Drosophila melanogaster: one gene and its partners. Changing the gene in region 1 together with any one later gene gives a genetic interaction. Each region holds a gene or a part of one and is shown in the gene's direction. Other genes may lie near its edges. The genes, in order: shop, Gdh and Orco.

What was found.
Region 2: of shop (region 1) and Gdh, changing one suppresses a phenotype caused by changing the other (phenotypic suppression), as found in Drosophila melanogaster (one study listed by BioGRID).
Region 3: of shop (region 1) and Orco, changing one enhances a phenotype caused by changing the other (phenotypic enhancement), as found in Drosophila melanogaster (one study listed by BioGRID).

The regions. Positions count from the first base shown.
Region 1 is NC_004354.4:18,846,851-18,850,606, reverse strand, and holds the start of shop (shopper), read left to right. Parts: upstream 1-2,040; 5' UTR 2,041-2,318; coding exon 2,319-3,225; intron 3,226-3,288; coding exon 3,289-3,756. Other genes in the region: htk (hat-trick), read right to left, coding at 1-727. UniProt on the Drosophila melanogaster protein: Required in ensheathing glial cells for normal larval locomotion. Oxidizes sulfite which is required to maintain glutamate homeostasis and as a consequence, neuronal network function.
Region 2 is NT_033777.3:23,941,192-23,944,947, reverse strand, and holds the start of Gdh (glutamate dehydrogenase), read left to right. Parts: upstream 1-1,846; 5' UTR 1,847-1,936; coding exon 1,937-2,354; intron 2,355-3,756. Other genes in the region: CG12268 (uncharacterized protein), read left to right, coding at 154-263, 333-783, 842-1,259.
Region 3 is NT_033777.3:5,410,634-5,414,389, reverse strand, and holds the start of Orco (odorant receptor co-receptor), read left to right. Parts: upstream 1-1,983; 5' UTR 1,984-1,995; intron 1,996-3,756. UniProt on the Drosophila melanogaster protein: Odorant coreceptor which complexes with conventional odorant receptors (ORs) to form odorant-sensing units, providing sensitive and prolonged odorant signaling and calcium permeability.

The DNA.
Region 1 (3,756 bases):
CGTCCCCGTCCGCGCTTGGCACCTCCCGTTGGTGGCGTCTTGACTACCGTAGAGAGCAGCGAAGGTGTGGAGCTAGCGCCTCCCAAGGATCCCGACAGCGACGGAGCTCCAGGTCCAGTCGAATTTCCCGATGAGGGTGACATTTTGGAGCAGCCATCCTTGCCTGGCTGCTTATCGGACACTCCTGGGGGCTGTGAGCCCTGCACCAAAAGGGAACCTCCTCCTCCTCCTCCTCCTCCTCCACCTCCACCTCCACCGCCACCACCACCACCACTACCGCTGTTCGCACTGCTGGTGCTAATGGTGCGAGTTTTCTGCTTGGATCCCTTGGTCAGGTTCTCGGCAATCCGTTCGCGTGGCACCCACTCATCGTAGCGATTGTTCCAGCCTGTGTAATGTACCAGGTACATGGGCACTCCGCGCTGGACACTGATCTCGATGACCTTGGCCTCGTAAGTGCTGCCATGCGAGCTGGGCGACTTCTTCTCGTGGTAGTTCACCTTCAGCTTATCCCCGATGCCCACCACAAAGTCGCCGGTGTCGATCTTCTCCACGCTAATCTTCTCCTTCTTTCGCTTGCCGCTGCTCGCCTGCTTCTCCTCCTTGTCCTTGTCCTTCTCCTTGTCCGCCTGCTTGCTCCGCTGGTGCTTCTCCTTCTTGTTGGACGCGGTCTGGGCGGTGGCCGCTGCTCCGGATGTGCTTGCGCCAGCAGACGGCGGTGCAGCAACTGAAAGTAAGACATATTTATTAATAAACGTCGATTCTTCAAAATCTGTTTTATTTATTAATCATCAAAATGCCCTTATTCCTAACTCGTTACTTGTGGTTATTAATAAACTATTATTGTTACTTTTTATTTGGTGGTTTTAATGAATTTTATAGGGTGATATATATAGATTATACATAATTAAACATTTTTAAAAATACTTTTCACAACATTATGATCTTAATCATTCAACTACTTTAATGTTTCATCTAACAAAAACTATTCAATCCAACGAAATGAAGAGCAGAACAATTAATAATTATTTACACACGCCCTCGCGCATTTTCGCATTTTATTTATAAACATTTCTGAGACATCTTGGTTCGAAAGAGAGGGAAGATGCCTTCAAAGACAATAAACAACTAATCAACATGAAAGCATAATCGTGCTTGCATTACTACAGATATGTATATCCACGAAATACACGAAAATTTATTTGATTAAAAAGCGTTTTAAAAAGCTCCACCAGTTAGAAAGAGTGCGGTGATAAATAAATCACCATTTTCACATTAGTGAGGATTAAAAAACAAAACAAACTTTCTGGTGTTAAGCAAAAAGAGAATTTATAAGATATTCGTACAAGTTTAAACGTTTTTCTTTTTGCTATTCATATTTTCTCATGAGCTCTCCCTCGAATTAGAGGGAGAGGGAAGATGAAAGCATATCTTATCACATTATCATACCCATAAAAATAAACAAAGCAACAAGTGCTTTTGTCAGAGCTTTTTATCTGCAAATATCCGTGTTTTAACGAGCTTAATTTCTCTATTAGCGTACATTTTAGTTATTCACTCTTGGCCGACAACTTTTGCCCAAGTATCGATACTGGGAATCGATACTTTCAGGTGGGCTGGCGAGTACTTCGCGCATGTTGAAAATAGGTAAAATTAGAGTCGAATTGCACATACTCTTTACCTACAACCATACTTAATGTATATACTGCCACTTGGTGCAATTTTCAATATGTATTTTCGATACATATTATAACTATGGTAAATTTTTGATATTTCAAGCAGCATTTATAGATAGAAACTACTTTATAGTTACATATGGTTATAGTGCATTATCTACAAATGATTAAATGATTATAACTATTTTCACAATTAATAATGTTAATGTTTAGTTTATCTCATCACCAAGTACACTGTCTGTACTCTTCATAAAGTTTGATATACACCAACGAGATGGTGAAGTGTAGCTACCCTCTGGAAAGGGTATAGCAAACAACACGAAACAGGGTTGCCTACTGCGGGAAATATCGCATGGGGGCATGGATACAGTGTGTTTTGTTGTCGAGGAGCGGCTGGTAAACAGCCGAATTAGCGCTCCCAAGATTGCTTATCAATTAAACCAACGCCGATTGGGGGCCAGAGGCTGCTGGGGCCAATGACGCCACTGGACAAACCACAAGACATATCACTTAGGAGGCCACATAAATCAGCAGCGAAACAGATTCACCGGAGCGGCAAGAAGCAGAGCGGGGAAGCTTGAGATTGGTTTGGATTTCTTTCGAAACGAATCGACTGATTTACCGGTGATCAGTTACATAACAATGCGCTTGCTCAGGCCCAGCTGGGCGGGGTTGCTGCGCGGAAGGCACCACCAGCACCAGCGACATCACCGGCGTCTCCTGCTGACCACCAGTCGCGGTAGCAATGGAGAAAGGGAGGAGCAGCAGCACAGCCAATGGAGTTCTCCCGGCAGCAGGTCGGAGCAACTGTTCTATGCTGCCTTTTGGGCAGGTGGCCTGACCCTAGGCTACCACTGGCTGACCGACAAGAAGAACCATGTGCTGCTCGAGGGACAGAAGGTGGCCAGCGAGGAGGAACTAGAGGCAACGGCCCGACTGTGGCACGTGACCAACAGAAGGGAGTTGCCCACCTACAGGGCAGAAGAAGTGGAGCAGCACAACAGCGTAGAGAAACGCATTTGGGTCACCTACGGCCTGGGCGTATACGATGTCACGGACTTTGTCGAGAATCATCCCGGTGGCGATAAGATCTTGATGGCCGCCGGCAGTGCCATCGATCCCTTTTGGGGCATCTACCAGCAGCACAATACGCTGGAGGTTCTGGAGCTCCTAGAGGGCTTTCGCATTGGCAATCTGGAGGGACTGGTGGTGACCAACGTGGACGATGAGCTGGGCTCACCCTGGTCACAGGAGCCGCAGCGCCACGCCCTGCTCAAGCCAGCCTCCAAGAGACCATTCAACGCTGAGCCACCCATTGGATTGCTGGCCGAGCAGTTTTACACGCCCAACGAGCTATTCTATGTGCGCAACCACCTGCCAGTGCCAGTGATAAATCCGGAGGATTACGAGCTGGAAATCGAAGGTGGCGCCAAGGACAAGACCCTCACTCTGGACGGGATCAAGGCCCTGCCCAAGCACTCGGTCACGGCGGCCATCATGTGCGGTGGCAATCGACGCTCTGAGATGACCAAAGTCAAGGCCGTAAAGGGTAAGTCGTCTGGTTAGGTATCTCTCTGATGATTCCCTTAGGTCCATTTGTCCCTATTCCGAGGTCTTTCATGGGGAGCTGGTGCAGTGGGCAATGCCAAGTGGTCAGGAGCTCGACTGTGCGACATTCTAAGAGAGCAGGGCGTGCAGCCGGATGAGACCAAGCACGTGATCTTCGAGGGTGCCGACCTGGATCCCACTTCCCACCCGTATGGAGCATCGATACCACTCGCCAAGGCGCTCGATCCCAGGGGAGATGTCATCCTGGCCTACGAGATGAACGATGAGCCGCTGAGCAGAGACCATGGCTTCCCCATCCGCGTAATTGTTCCCGGCACAGTGGGCGCTCGCAACGTGAAGTGGCTAACGCGAATCGTGGTGGCGGACAAGGAATCGGACTCGCACTGGCAGCAGAACGACTATAAGGGCTTTAGCCCTAGCACCGATTGGGACACGGTAGACTTCAGCAAATCGGATGCCATCCAGGCCATGCCGGTGACATCGGCCATCTGTACGCCACAGCCAGGGGCCA
Region 2 (3,756 bases), on another chromosome or scaffold:
TTGAGCAGCACTTACTTTTAGTAAACAAACGCTTATAAAGATTTGGGCTATCTAAATACTGGCTGAAATATAATGAAGTGCCTATAGTTTCATGCTCCTTTACAGGCGTACCTTGGTGGCACCTAATAACCAGTTTCTTTGGCTTATTTTTAGATTACTAAACGGCTTGCCAAACACGTACGCTTACAGCAAGGCGCTGTCGGAAGATTTAATTTGCAGATACAACAATAAGCTGCCCATAATCATCACAAGGCCCTCGATCGGTGGGTATACCATAGTGTCTACTCTGTTTTTGTGCCTCCTGGCTAATTGCTTTATTAAATCCATTGCAGTGACGGCCGCCATTCACGAGCCATTGCCCGGCTGGATCGAGGGCGTCAATGGACCCACCGGCCTAATGATCGGCGCCGCCCGCGGAGTCATCCGATCGATGCACTGCAATCCGGACTACGCCTCCACGGTGATACCCGTAGACAAGGCCATTAACGGCATGATCCTGTGCGGCTATCAGCGCGGAAAGGCCAGCCAGGAGAAGGGTAACAAGCAGACGGGTGTTGAGTTCTGCAATCTGTGCATCTCCAGCAAGGCGCTGATGTCCTGGGGCGACAGCATCGAGACGGGTCGTCGATTCTTCTACGAAACGCCGCTCAGCTTTGCGCTCTGGTATCCGGGTGGATCCATCAAAAAGAACTACTACCACCACCTTTTCTGCGTCATCTTCTTCCACTATCTGCCCGCATACTTCATCGACTTTTGGCTGCTCGTCTTTGGCCAAAAGCCATTGTAAGTAAACGGTTAAATTTTAAGTTCTCCTATTAACACATGGATTATTCCCATCCAGCTTACTCAATGTCCAACGCAAAGTGTCCATGGGTCTGAAGCTGCTGCAGTACTACACAACGAAAAGGTGGGAGTTCCGAAACGAGCGCTTCCAGGAGATGAGCAGTCAGCTGAGCCTCCTGGATCAGGACCTCTTCGACACGTCGGTGGGTCAGGTCAATTGGGAGACATACATCAGTAACTACATTGTGGGCATGCGCACCTATATACTGGGCGAGAGCGAGGACACTCTGCCGCAGGCCAGGAAGGTCCTGCGACGGCTGTATATCCTCGACTGGGTCAGCAAAGTGCTGTTTTTCTCCCTGAGCTTCTGGTTCCTGTGGACCCATTTGGATGGCTTCGTGGAACGGAGCGATGCCTTCATCCGATCCTCGCTCAGCACCATTTACCATGAGCGAAACAGCACCATACATGTATAAACTCTTCTTTAATTATGTACTTCAAATATAGTCCACAAGATTTTGTTTCTTTTTAAGTAAGCTAGCTGTGTTTTATTTCTATTTTAACTAAGGATTAAAACTCAAAACAGTCACATAGGAATTGTGTGAAAGATCAATAGCATGATAAGCCCGAAAGTTACGTGGTAAATTCCTGAAAGTATGAGCTCTAAATAAAAAATTTAGCAAAACCTTTAAAAAAACACCTTATATAAAATATACCTTGTATATATCGTTTGTATTGTACTGTACGATGTTTATTACTTAGATTTTCAAGTGCTTTCTAAAAGAAACTCAGTACCCCCCTGAATTCAACATATAGCCGAAGATGATAAATCATAGCTTAATCTTGGAGTCAAAGAAAAACGTGAACGTGAAACCGATAACAAATACCTAATCTCGCCCTGGCAACGAAGCGAGTAATCCGCCGGCGGTGGTGCCGCGTTTCTAGCGGGCACTCCACCCACAGAGCTTTTCGGTGAAAAGTTTGCACCGCTCTCGCCGGAGAGCAAAAAGCTCGGCGCTCCGAAAAAGCCGACATATATATACATATCTATGCGAGTGCCTCGGCCAGTTTGGTGCGGCGTCGAGTAGCGAGCGGTTGTGTAGAACAGAATAAAAAAAGAGTTGGAACCCGAAGAATCCAAGCGATTAGCAGCATGTATCACCTGAAGAGTCTGGCCCGCCAGGGCGCCCGCCGCCAGCAGGAGCTGGCCACGCTGGCCAAGGCACTGCCCACCGCTGTGATGCAGTCGAGCCGCGGCTATGCCACCGAGCACCAGATTCCCGACCGCCTCAAGGATGTGCCCACCGCCAAGGATCCGCGCTTCTTCGACATGGTCGAGTATTTCTTCCATCGCGGCTGCCAAATCGCCGAGGAATCGCTGGTGGACGACATGAAGGGCAAGCTGACCCGCGACGAGAAGAAGCAGAAGGTGAAGGGCATCCTCATGCTGATGCAGCCCTGCGACCACATCATCGAGATCGCCTTCCCCCTGCGCCGCGATGCCGGCAACTACGAGATGATCACCGGCTACCGCGCCCAGCACAGCACCCACAAGACGCCCACCAAGGGAGGCAAGTGTTGATCCAAGATAACCCAAGATATAATAGTCAGAACTCTGCACGTAGGTAGTAAAAAATGAGACGTTAAGAGGTTTTCAAAAGGGATGCAAACAAAAGTGCCAAACCTATAGAGACCACTAGATGATTCAGTTTTCCTTGAAAATCTAAAACAAAAAATGCAATTACCTAGCAAGTTTAAAGCAAAAATTTGTCAACACTTACTTAAGTTTTAAGAAACCCTCAGAACAGCTGTTGTCGCTCGATGCAAAATCGATTTTTCCTTAGGCATTTCTGGCATTTCGTCTTGATTTTTCAAGTTATGTAACCCAGTATATAAGCCACACCAGACCAGACCCCCTTTTCCCCACGTTCTGCGCATGTACCGCTGCCGCCTGTTTTGTTTACGTTTTAGCCGACTGGGCTCCCCCTTTCTCCACATTTTTTTTTTTTTTTTTTTTGTTATTTGAGGGTTTTTAGGCCGCATTGCATAAGGCTCGGACGTTGGGCACACGTGTTTGCATTAGATTTCCAAACCCTTCAAGTGTGCCACCATTCAAAAACAGATGTACATATGCTGAATGTACTGCCCGCTTTTCGCACATTTCATTATTTTCGAGCTGGCAAATGTATTTCGATTCTTTCGCTGCTGTTTGTTTTTCCTTTGGCTGGGTGCTATTTATAATGAACTTTTGCTTGTGTTTTGCTTTCTAATTGAAATGAGAGCACAGCACTGCACAGTGTGTCAAGTGCTAAAAAAAAAGTAACGCCCCTAACCACCAAAAAAAAAAAGAAAAAATCTCCTTGTTGTCAGGCCACAAAAATTGTTTGTTCCGAATTCTGTTCCTTTTTTTTTTGCTTCATCTCAAATTATTAATTATAGAATCAGTTTGGTGCTTATCAAAAGCAAAAAAAAAAGAACACAAAAAATATGTAGTGAAAAATATTCGACTAGGGAATCTTATCTGACCTTGGTTATGCGCAAAAATAGAAAACAGAAACAGCCGAAAAAACGCTATGCCCCTAAAATTTGTTGTTTACGATTATTGCCACGCTTCTTAACACTTTATGATCTTGTTTTCGATCCATAGATCGATCGATCGATCATGTGGCTTAGTTAGTTGGGTCACCAAAAGTTGTAAACAGCCTGTTACTAAGTGAATTGAATCCACCTTATGGCTCGTTAATGATTCACTCAAATAGCCAGCTCTCTGCTATTTCAGTCAAAGGTGCTAAAAATTGCTAGTCTATTTATTTACTTAGTACTACTAGATCAATGGACAGTGTTTAATGGCCACCATTTTGTGCGCTCCATGCTCTAATTAATGTTAATTCCCGCTGATGCATCTGCCATTTGGCTGTTAATTATTTAATACGTTCTGCGTATGTACATACATCAAGTCCCCGGTCTCGAATT
Region 3 (3,756 bases), on another chromosome or scaffold:
TCTGCTGAGGAGAGATTTTCTTATACGAATCTCTGCAAAGAGCAAGGAACGAGTCCTTCGAGAGCGAGAGAGAGAGAGAGAGCTCTCAGATGGCGAGTCACTTCTCTTGTTGCATTTCACAGGCTCAACGAGCCACAGATAATGCACGTGAGTTGCTGAAGCTGCCAGATGGTTCAGATTGCTATGCCTTTAAATATAAAATGGAACACGTCCTTAAAAATTAAATATTATATACATATATATATAAGAGAGAACCCAAAATGGTATCTAAGCAGAAGTGCAACAATATAAAATTAAGCTTAGAATTATTATTATTTTAATAGCTATCACTATCGATTTGCACATTTTTATCCGTATGAAAATAAAAATTAGGCAAGACACTTAAAATTAAGCATGCAAATTCTAATCACATGATTATTATAGATTCTATTAATACTACTACTGAGCCAACTTATATCGATATTCAAATAATATTTGTATTTTAATCTTCCACACGTTATATAGGCATATTTAATGCACCTCATGCTTTTACATAATTGCCGAAAGAGTGGCAACGTCTTGCCACAGCGTCTCTTATAATTTTAAACTCGTGGAGCTGAGCCATCTCAGATTTAACTCTCCCTGCGCATGCTCTCGCGTGGGAGAACAACTTCGAATTTCGGGCAGAAGGATAACAAAGAAAGCACTCCAACGAAACGAACACCCTACAGACTAATATAGAACACCACAAGACCAAAACTCGTTTAGTTGCCGCGTTGACAACTTTGTGGCAGGCGGCAAACAAACAAACCTCACACTAGTCCTGAATGTCCTTTATGCGGACAGCTGTGGGGGCGGGGATCCTGTTGCAATTCCATTGTGAAAGCCAAATGCATTGACCTGCTTAGACAGCTGAGAGATTTACAACTCCCCTATAACTCCTGGCCGTGCTGCAGTTCTGGGAAAGGGAGCAGCGGCATTAAATGGCAAATAAATCTAAAGTTAAACTTTTGACACTGTCTCGGCGAGCAGCCACGAAGGCACTTCCTTCCGACTCCCTCGACTTCCGGTTGGAATCTGTCGCCCTGTCAGCGGCAACAGAAGAAGTGACACTGGCACGCAGACAAGTGCACTGAGAGAAATTGCTTCGGTCATAGCTCAGTGAAATACTAATTATTTCTGCTGAGAAATATTGACAATTTAAAACAAAAGTCATAAAATATGAGCATACATTTTTTATGATTAACTAAATACTAATGCATTCGTTAAATATATATATACCGCCGAAAACAAATTAAGACATTTCCTATTCTGTCAATTACAATTTCATATTCAGTTATATTGTTTTAAACTAAACTGGCGATATATAAACTTTCTGGCTGAAAAATCTTTCTGAAATTGTACACCAGCAATTTCTCCATGTGTACTACTGTGCGATGTATAAGGATTGGATTTATGAGCGCCCAGCACCTCTACCGAAATCTTATAAAACCCGGGAATAAATAATAATAATTCTTGCGCTTTTCGCTGTTGTTCGCATTTCCCGCATTTCTCTGCCATTCTTTTCCATTCTTATGACAATGTCAACATTTCTTTTGCTCCCCTAATGGCCTGAAGAAAGCACACGCACACACACACACACATATAGACCACTCGCACACTATGAAACCGAATGTGGCACACACCCCACGCACTTATTTATATGTATTTTCGATCGTCTGTTGTTTTTCCAAGTCGGTTATGCATAGCCATAAATTCTGGTAAAAGCCTTCTGTAGGTCGAGGGCCACGGCGGTCCGAAAATAAAGGAATTGCTCCTGATGCTGGCACTTACGCACACAGCCAAGCAGCAGGATGGGAGAGAGAGGACCTCGCACACACGGACTCACGCACTCACACGCAATTGGTGTTCTCGCCGTTTTTGTTTGTCACTTAACAGATTTTTCTGTCCTTGCTGGGTATTGATTTCTAATTTTTCCTTCGTCGGCTTTGCGCCCCAAAGAGGTTTTTATAATGTGTGCGTGTGTGTGTGTGTGTGTGTCGCATTGATTTCGCAATTTATGGGCGATTTGATGGATTGCTTGAATAACTTTATATGCTTATTTTTGAGTTTTTATTGTTTTACAACTTGCGGTATTTTATGTAGAGATCCTGTGGACGACCTAATGGAAATCATTTGGTTTTGGCTGAAATGCGGCCATAAAGGTGTGAATCAAAATAATGTTGCCTATACTTCGGGTATATCATTTCATATGGAAAGCGCTTAATAATAATTATATAAATATATAATTTCTAGTTAATGTGACTTTATTAACCCATTAGTGCGTTTTAATCATTTAATTTGGCATCAGAATCGATCACAGTCACGAACACAAAAGCGTAATGGTAAAAATAAAGGCTCATTTGTTTAAGTTGTAAATTAAATAAAGCAAGTGTCACTTTCCATTTAAATGTTGCCTAATAATTAATGACAAAAGGCTGCAGGGCTCACGATGTCCGCGGTTAGCTAATTGATCCAAACGCATCCGCGTAATTAAACTTTCAGCCACAAGCCCATAAAATAAATCAAAAAGCGAAGGACCGAAAGGGGCAACATTTAGGGGGGGGGGGCTTGTTTCGCATGGCTGAGTTCAGGACGATTAAACGTTAAATCAATATTGTTAAATCCCCGCTCGCATCCCCGCAATCCACACAGGCAAGTGTTCACGTATTAATTGATGTTCGTGAGTGTCCTGCATTTAAATAATCCATGATTTGGGACATCTGTGTCTGAGTTCCCATTCATATATGTATGCATATGTGTATATGAGTGGTGGAAACTAGCTGCAGATATAGCTACAGACACAGATACATTTACATTCCGGCACATAGTTTTAAGTGTGATTCAGTTATTCACAATAGTCGCCGCTTTTTGTTCTTGCCACGTTTTAATATTGTCACAACTAGTTTCGAATAACTAAATTGGATGTTTTCGATTAGCATTCAATACACTGCTCAGCAATTTCGTTTGCGTTGCAATTTGAGTACTAGATTTTGAATTAGACAATTGTTTTATTAATTGCCTACATGTATATTACCTAACTGATTTCGAAGGCCACTTGTACGACCTTGAGATAGAGTATTAATTATTTAAATTCTACTGTATTATAATTGCAAAGAATTGTAAGTATTCATAATATATAATGGCAACCCAATTTAAGACTTCTTTTGAAGGCCCCCGCCTACCGAAATTCAGTGCCTATGAGAACTGAGAACGAAAAAAATTGAGCAAGGACCAAATATCCATCAGGCTGAACACACACATTTTCATGCAAATAGGCAATGTGTTATTTTTTTGGGTCAGCGATTCACGGAGGGATCCCCACCAAATGGGTTGGCTGAGGAATGGCCTATCCCCATATCTCAGCGGCACTTGGGGCAGGCCAACAAATACAAGCAGGCATAATAAAATAATCGATGCTTTTAAAATTTGCATAAGTTTGGATACCGCAGATGCCGCGCAAGGATGAGCCCATCTCCAGTCCCAGTGCCATTCCGCCAGTGCGCATACGCCGCGTGGAGGGCACAGGACTGGGCCATGGCCCATGGCCCAAAAGCGGAGTCCTAGACCCGGAGACGACAGCAGTGGTGGACAAGTTCGTGGGCGTTCGATTTAATTGTGGGAATTCTGCGTCTGCCACGCACCCATCACATCGATGGACGTGGCTGAAGAGCTGAATTTTTAAGCGCTCCAAGGCGGCCCGATACCCATATTGTATATTTTCATTACCATGTGTGG